2 linked regions of the Caenorhabditis elegans genome follow. The protein of the gene in region 2 interacts with the protein of the main gene of each other region in a pairwise test. Each region holds a gene or a part of one and is shown on either strand. Other genes may lie near its edges.

What was found.
Region 1: the proteins of F40F9.3 (region 2) and dlat-1 interact in a two-hybrid assay, tested with the Caenorhabditis elegans proteins (one large-scale study listed by BioGRID).

What each region holds. Positions count from the first base shown.
Region 1 is NC_003283.11:14,444,823-14,449,145, forward strand, and holds dlat-1 (Dihydrolipoyllysine-residue acetyltransferase component of pyruvate dehydrogenase complex, mitochondrial), read right to left. Parts: upstream 2,469-4,323; 5' UTR 2,466-2,468; coding exon 2,252-2,465; intron 2,193-2,251; coding exon 1,466-2,192; intron 1,399-1,465; coding exon 946-1,398; intron 897-945; coding exon 767-896; 3' UTR 501-766; downstream 1-500. Other genes in the region: F23B12.4 (ShKT domain-containing protein), read left to right, coding at 1-2, 57-207, 255-379; fntb-1 (Protein farnesyltransferase subunit beta), read left to right, coding at 2,920-3,006, 3,056-3,214, 3,261-3,572, 3,797-3,993, 4,128-4,323. UniProt on the Caenorhabditis elegans protein: The pyruvate dehydrogenase complex catalyzes the overall conversion of pyruvate to acetyl-CoA and CO(2).
Region 2 is NC_003283.11:9,713,355-9,716,933, forward strand, and holds F40F9.3 (PDZ domain-containing protein), read left to right. Parts: upstream 1-1,854; 5' UTR 1,855-1,912; coding exon 1,913-1,987; intron 1,988-2,029; coding exon 2,030-2,261; intron 2,262-2,363; coding exon 2,364-2,539; intron 2,540-2,584; coding exon 2,585-2,839; intron 2,840-2,886; coding exon 2,887-2,976; 3' UTR 2,977-3,027; downstream 3,028-3,579. Other genes in the region: F40F9.10 (tRNA(Phe) (4-demethylwyosine(37)-C(7)) aminocarboxypropyltransferase), read right to left, coding at 1-91, 140-223; str-188 (Seven TM Receptor), read left to right, coding at 3,343-3,510.

The DNA of each region.
Region 1 (4,323 bases), 4.7 Mb from region 2:
CGGTATTTTATATTTTCTTTTACTCTCTGATCTATATTATAATTGCAATTTTACAGCGTCCACGACAGCGAATTGTTGCTCAACAGCCACAATCTCCATTTAATCGTCAAAATGTGTTCATTTCAAGAAGACGTGGACAGAGTAACAGTTTTGCTGCTCAGCGGCAAAATGTATTCCAGCAGCCACAGCCGGCTTTCGGTGGCGGACGTATGTTTCTAGATCTAGGATATTGTCGAATCTTTTTGAATCTTCAGAATGCGCTGATCGTGATCCTCAAGGAAGATGCAGTCAGTGGCGTCAGTTCTGTGCTTCACCATCCCATCAGCAATACTTAACGGCGTTCTGCGCAAGAACATGCGGACTGTGTCGTCGTCATTGAATTCGTTTCTTGAAGCATATTGTTTCCTAGGGTCTCTCAACATTTTGCTCACTATTACTAAAGATCCGCTAGGCTTTTCCAAACACACTACGAGTTTCTGAAATTTCTGTATGACAGACAAAAATAATAAATCATTTTTTAAAGGAAACTTCTTCTAATAATTCACTTACACATACTACCGGAGAAATTAAACGATTAACTGGGAAACATGCCATGAAAAATGAGAAAAATAAAAGCGAAAATGGCTGTAGTGAAGAAAGAAAGAAATAATAAAATTATGACCTAGTTATACGCTATCACTTCGAGACTTTACGGAGTAAATTCGGGGGTCAAAATGGGTAGAGGAAGATGGTGAGATGAATTGGGAAACAATGAAAAAGCCATCGTTTAGAGAAGCATCGTGTGTGGCTTCTCGAGGAACTCCTTGAAGTGACGAAGCCAGACGGCTCCAACAGCTCCATCAACAGTCCTGTGATCGCATGACAATGTTACCTTCATAGTCTTAATCTTCTTATATCTGAAATACAAAAACTATATAACTCGATAAATTTCCTAAAAACTCTTACCCTTCAGCCTCGTCTGGGACCAGCTTATCAGATGCTCCTCCGATAGCCAAAATGCATGATTGTGGTGGGTTGATGATCGCGGTGAAATCAGATACAGATCCGAACATTCCGAGGTTCGAGACGGTGAAAGTACCTCCTTGGAACTCATGAGGCTGCAATTTTCCTTCGCGTGCTCTTTGCGCCAATTCTACAATTTCTGAGGCAATCGTGGCGAGTCCCTTAGCGTGAGCATTGAAGATAATTGGAGTAATAAGACCGGCTGGGGTGCTGACAGCTACAGAAACATCGACGTGATGATTCTCACGAATGAACGAGTCCATCCAATAGCTGTTGGCTTCTGGAACTCGTTGACATGCAAGAGCAGAAGCTTTGATGATAAAGTCATTGATTGAGATCTTAGTGGCTTGTCCCGATGTTCCCTTTGCAAGAAGACCGTTGAGCTTTTCACGAACCCTGAATAAGGGTAATTTTTGGAAAGGAAGACTCGGGTTTATTGTTTTAATAATTTAAGAAAACTCACTGAAGAAGTGTATCCAATTGAATTTCGCTGGTCAAATAATAATGTGGAATCGTTGATTTGCTTTCGGTGAGTCTCTTAGCAATTGTCTTACGCATGTTCGAAAGTGGAATATCGGTATAATCTTGACCAGATACGGCTTGAGTTGTGGTTGAAGTAGCGCCCTTTGCTGGAGCCTGGGAAAGATCCGAAGCGAGAATACGTCCTCCTGGTCCACTTCCAGAAACTCCGCTCAAGTCAAGGCCATTTTCAGCAGCAAGTTTCTTAGCGAACGGTGAAGCAGAAACTCTTCCCGATGATGAGTGTGGAATTGGTGCGGACTTTGGAACTGATGGTGCTTGATACATTTGTGCTGGGGGAGATGGTTGCGATGAAGCGGCTGGTTTTGCTGGCTCTGGAGCTTTCTCGGCTGCTGGAGCGGATCCACCAGATGAAGCACCATCGTCCTTGAAATCCTTGAAGGCAGCAACGTCAGCCTCGTTGTCGACGATAATACAGAGAAGCTTGCCAATTGGAACATCCTTCGATCCTTCCTGGATGAGAATCTTGGCAAGATATCCTTCTTCCGGAGTTTCGAATCCCATAGTGGCCTTATCGGTTTCAATCTCGCAGAGCAAATCTCCTTCACTAAGTTGATCTCCTTCTTTTTTCTGCCAGCTTACAACAGTTCCGAGTTCCATAGTTGGAGAAAGTGCTGGGAGAGCTACCCGATTGTGCTTTGGCAGATTTCCTGAAAAAAGGAATTAGTGGACAACCAGTTGGAAAATATAAATAGGAAAAAAGTCTCACCACTGCTATAAAGGCGAACTTGTTTAATACTGAAAGCTGCAGCATTTGGATATTGGCGAGCTACTTGTCCAACAAGTCCTGAGCTTTTGGCGGCAGCTCCGGTGCTGAGGGCCCGACTCGATTGTGTGAAACCGATGTTGGCGGCAGAAATAGCTGCTGTTGTCGAGGGACGAAGCCCACCAATCGTTCTCAACGGCACCGGGAACTTCGACATTACCTGAATATTTTTCAGTTTAAACAAAATTATACTTGTAAGAAAACGTAGAAATAAGATATTTAATACACATTTGCAAACAACAATAAAGAATATAAAATTGTAAAGTTATTAAATTTTAAATGGAATGAAAAGCTAATTTACAAGAAAACTTTATCATCTTTCTGCATACTCGCCTGATTTTCGTAGAGTTTTTGTTGCAATAACTGATTAAAAACTTTATCACAGACTGATAAAACGTCAGAATTCCTGATCAGAAAAGAGTGTTCAGAAAAATGAGAAAAGAAAAAATTAGACGGGGACAACGACACTCCGTTTTAAACACGCGCGCCTTGTTTATCACACCGATTTTTTTTTATTTTCGCGACGAAAAAAAATGTTTTTGATAGGTTTTCCCAAGAGAAGTGTGTTTTCTAATGTGTTCTTTTTGTAAAAATTGTATTTTATAACAGAGATGACATCTTCGATCCCATTCCGTTCGTTCAACGAGAAATATGAGTGTAACGACGATGATAATTTCACCTACTCAAGCACTGAACAGGTTTGTAACCCCGCCATGTAATTATCATGTACGATTATGAGTATTTCAGAAACGTATTGAAACAATGCTTTTCGAAAACTACAATTCACTGGTGTTAGAACCATTCAAGACCACAAGCGACGAAGATCTCGCCGAATTGACGATTTTCCGTCAGAAACATGCCTCGTATTTGCTCAGATATCTCAAAAACTGCCCGTCGAGCTACGCAGTAAGTTTGATTTGTGAGAAGTGGTTTTTAACATTACAATTTTTAGACCTTAGACGCTAGTCGTTCATGGATGTGCTACTGGGGAGTTAATGCACTTAAAATTTTGGACGCAGAAATTCCAAACGATGTTATCGAAAACATTATTGTTTTTCTTAAATCTTGTGAACATCCAGAAGGTGGCTATGGTGGAGGACCAGGACAATTGGCTCATTTGGCTCCAACGTATGCCGCTGTCATGTGCCTAGTGTCTCTACAAAAAGAAGAAGCTCTACGATCTATCAACAGAGTCACACTGTTCAATTTTTTGAAGAAGTGCAAGCATGAGAGCGGAGGATTTTATATGCACGAGGGAGGAGAGGTAATAATTTATTAATGAATATCTCTGGCAATGGTTCAAAAGCTCTAAATGTACTGAAACTCCTGCATAGACTTGATGAAGTCCTACTCAGAGTGAAACTTCTACGTACTCTTGCATAGAACTTTAGGATCCTTGCTGCACACTCTACGAATTGCCTCTAGTGTTGTTTTTTTTGCCAGAGATATCATAAAAATTCTGAGCTATCGAAAATTGAACATTTCCAGATCGATATGAGAAGCGCCTACTGTGCACTAGCAACATGCGAGATTGTGGGCCTACCTATGGATGAGATATCAAATGGTGTGGCCGAATGGATTATCAGCTGCCAGAGCTTTGAAGGTGGTTTCGGAGGAGAACCGTATACAGAGGCACACGGAGGATACACTTTCTGCGCGGTCGCCTCGTTGGTTCTGTTAAACAGGTCAGTTATTGTTATCTTTGAAAATGAGAAGAGACAGACCATCACGTGAACACCACATGTTCTTTCTTATAAAATCATATCAATTAAGTTAGTTCAGAATTTGAAATAAGATCATTGATCCTGATGATTTCCAGATTCCGTCTTGCTGATATGGAAGGTCTCCTTCGTTGGGCCACGCGCCGGCAGATGCGATTTGAGGGTGGTTTCCAGGGAAGAACAAATAAACTTGTTGATGGATGCTACAGCTTCTGGCAAGGTGCCATCTTCCCACTTTTGGACGGAGAAATGGAACGAGAAGGCCGATCATTGGAGAAAGGTCTTTTCGAGGCG
Region 2 (3,579 bases):
CAATCATATCTCCATGCTTTTCCCATTTCTTTGGCAAATCTCTCTGCATTTCATCGTCCCACAACGACTTGCTCAATGCTAACTTTCTGACCTTAAAACTGAGAATTTAAATCCACATCACATGCTACTACAATCTTACATCTTCGAGCATCTGGCCGAAGTTTGATGCTTTTGCCAGGACACCATCACTCGTCTTCCGTCGTAAACTGGACGTTCTCTCCATTGAGGTTAAAAGAAGAACGAAGTCCGGCTGATTGGTGGGTAATAATAGAATTGATCTGTGTGAAGATAAATGAATGATATATTGTGATGGGTCGAGGAGAAAAAATACGTAAGTGGCGATAGACATATAGTGAAAGCGCAAGACAATCTTAAAACAATATTCAAGACAATAAAGAGATACACGATTTTAATATGAAATACTGTGAAGCAGTCTTTCTTCAAGAAACGAAGTTGTCTAAAATTCTAAAATATCATGAGAAAACAAAGAAATTAAGCTAACTTCTCTGATTCAATCTACTCCTGAAAAACTCTAAGATCAATCAGCAGACCCTACATGTGAATGAATCAGTGATGTTCATTCAGCCCATTTTCGTTGAATGGTTTCAAAATGGGCGGAAATTCCGTTTTCTGTGGATTTTTAAAAATTATTTCCCACTTTTGTAATGTTTCAGGATTTTGGACGATTTTGAGTATTTTATACCAATTTCATTTTTAAAGTTGACATTTACAGAATGTTCAAAATGTTATGGTTTACCATACGCCGTTTTCGATTTTATGGAAAAAAAGGAGCTTTTATAGCCAGATTATAAAACAACTATGGAAACTGACAAAACTTCAACAAAAGAACACTAATCCTAAAAATACAATGAGGAGAAATCTGAGATTCAAGAAGTATCCGGAACATTTTTTGGATAGAAAGGAACGGATCAGAACAAAACAGTGAAACCGAATCCCCATCATGGTGTTCTCTATAACATCGTTTTTTTTGAGGCGCGAAAAGCTTAGCGTGAAGAAAAAACATGGTTCTCTCCCTCTTTCTTGTGGGAGGTAGTGAGACATCTTTCGTCAACTTCTCCCGGGAGCTCAATCTCCTCCCCGTCGGGATGTGGCAAACAATAGAAAGAATAGAAATCGAGGAGATCACAGACAACTATTTCCAAGTGTCTCATTTTGTTGCCGAAGGGATGGACCTTAGGATTCATCTGCGTCTCTTCGAGTGACCACAGTCTATTAGATAAAGCGCACTCGTTATCAGTGGGCAAAAACACTTGATGGATATTTAAAAATATATTAAAAAATTTGAATTTGGAAGCAGATAAATATTACCAGTTGTGTTTAAATACATTGCTGGCGTCTTTATTGGTGTTTTAACGATATTCTCAAACACGAAGTTATTGCCAATAGTTTCACAATGGAACAAACTTCAATTCCTAAGAATATGATAATCGAAATTCTAAAACATTATTTTAAAATCCGAGAATAGAGTAATGAGTTAGCACGAACAGTGTTACAACTTCTTTCATCAGTTTAATTGGTTTTATGAGTGCTATCAGCGAAAAAATATAACACGGTGTGCAGGGTTTTTGGTATTATGTCAAATTTGTCCAATTTGTAAAAAATATTGGCCGTACAAGTTCTTAACGCCATTCTAGAATTGTGGAAAATTTAAAAGTGTCCTCATTTTGAAAAACTACTAAAGTACAGTAGACGCACTACATTACGGAATTTCCGTAACTTTCCAGAACAACTCATTGAAAAAAATCTTCATGGAATTTAAATTTGGCACGATTTTATCAAATATTCATAAGTTCACGTTTCCACATATTATTTTTTGCAACGAATTTTCCAATTATTGTAATTCAACGTAAAGTTGTTGCTAAACAATTTATTTCTCAATTCGCTAGAAAAAATGGAAAAAGGTGCACCGCAAAACAATGCTGACGAGGAGGCAAAAGTAGAAGTTCCACCTCCAGCTCCGAAAACCGTAAGTTGTCCAGATCGAAACATTTTGTAAAAATGCATTTAGACATCCGCCGAGAGAGCTCCTGAGAAAGTTTCAGCCGAAAAAGCTCAGGAACAAGAGAAATCCGCTATGGGCTCAGTGCCGATTCCGCCAGAAAGAGAGAAACATATTAAAGAAAGAAAGACCGGATACGAGTATTCAATTGTTACAATCAACTACAAGCCTGGAACGAAGTTTGGATTGGGAATCAAGAACGTCTTCAACAAGAGTATCTATGTGATTAAAGTTGAAGAGAGTAAGTTATGTAGTATTAAAATAAATAACTTGAGACAAGAAGTGAAGAAGGAGAAACAGCTACTTAAAAACAAAAAAAAAGAGAACAATAGTTTGATTGCAGATTCACTTGTCAGTGGAATATTCAACGTGGCTGATCGTATCATTGATGTTGATGGGGAACCAGTGTATGACAATGCAAAATGCAAAGGACTTCTTGTCAAAGCATTGAAAGAGAAGAAAGTTTGCACGTTGTTGATTGAACGAGGAATCACTGAGAGTGCATTGAAGGATGCTACTGTTAGGTTTTAAGAACATTTGGATAATTTATTTAAATATATTCAGAACGAGATGAATGAAGAGCACACTCAATCTGTCATGGCCCCACCTGATGTGAAGAGTATCATGCGTAAGCTTGAAGCTCACAATTTCCTTCGTAAATCTCCATCTTGTGAAAGTGCGGCTGCTCCAAATCCAGTTCCCAGTGCAATGACGAAAAATAAAGAAGGCAAAGGAGAGAGAAAGGCGTGTATTTTGGAAGATGGTCACAAATCTGTCATGATTCGTATGGATAACGAGGAGAATCGAAACAAGCTCAAGGTATTCTGAAATTTTTAAGCACATTTTGAAAGAGTTTTTTTTTTCAGAAAGTGGAACCCAAAGAGCCACCGAGAAGACTTGATCCTAAGACTCCACCGAAACCAGCGGCACCTGAACCAAAACCGGAAGGAAAATAATATATTGAACTTCAATGCCTTACTTTAGAATGAATAAATGGTTCAATGACATGTGTTTGCTTTTAAGTCTTTAGTATTTGGAAATATGTTCTGAAATTATGATAAAGCCATTCTAAAGGTTTTATATAAGTTTGAAAAATTTGATTCAAATGTTTAATTAGTTTTTGATCACTTGTATTATTTCCTTCAAGTTAACCAGGAAGTAAGTTTTAAAATCAGAAGCATCCGTTCTCGTGATCACAAAAATCGTTTTTATTACTGGAAAGACAATGATTCTCAAAGGACATTGTCTAGTCAAACTATGCTAATATATATTTTGGATCTGTCTGTACCCCAATTCAGTTCGGACGTTTATTTCTGGAAACAATGGTTTACCAACTGACTTGCACCGTTATTTCTTTGTTTCTCAATTCAATTCTCATATGTCTGATCTGGAACAAGTCACCCGCGCAAACAGGAAAATATCGATGGCTCATGATGTACACTGCATGCTTTGAAATATTTTGGGGAATATACGATTTGCCTGCAGAAATTGTGAGTTTAAATTACATCAACAATTTTCCAATGTTTTACTAACAAGAAAACCGCAAGTTTTTCAAATGT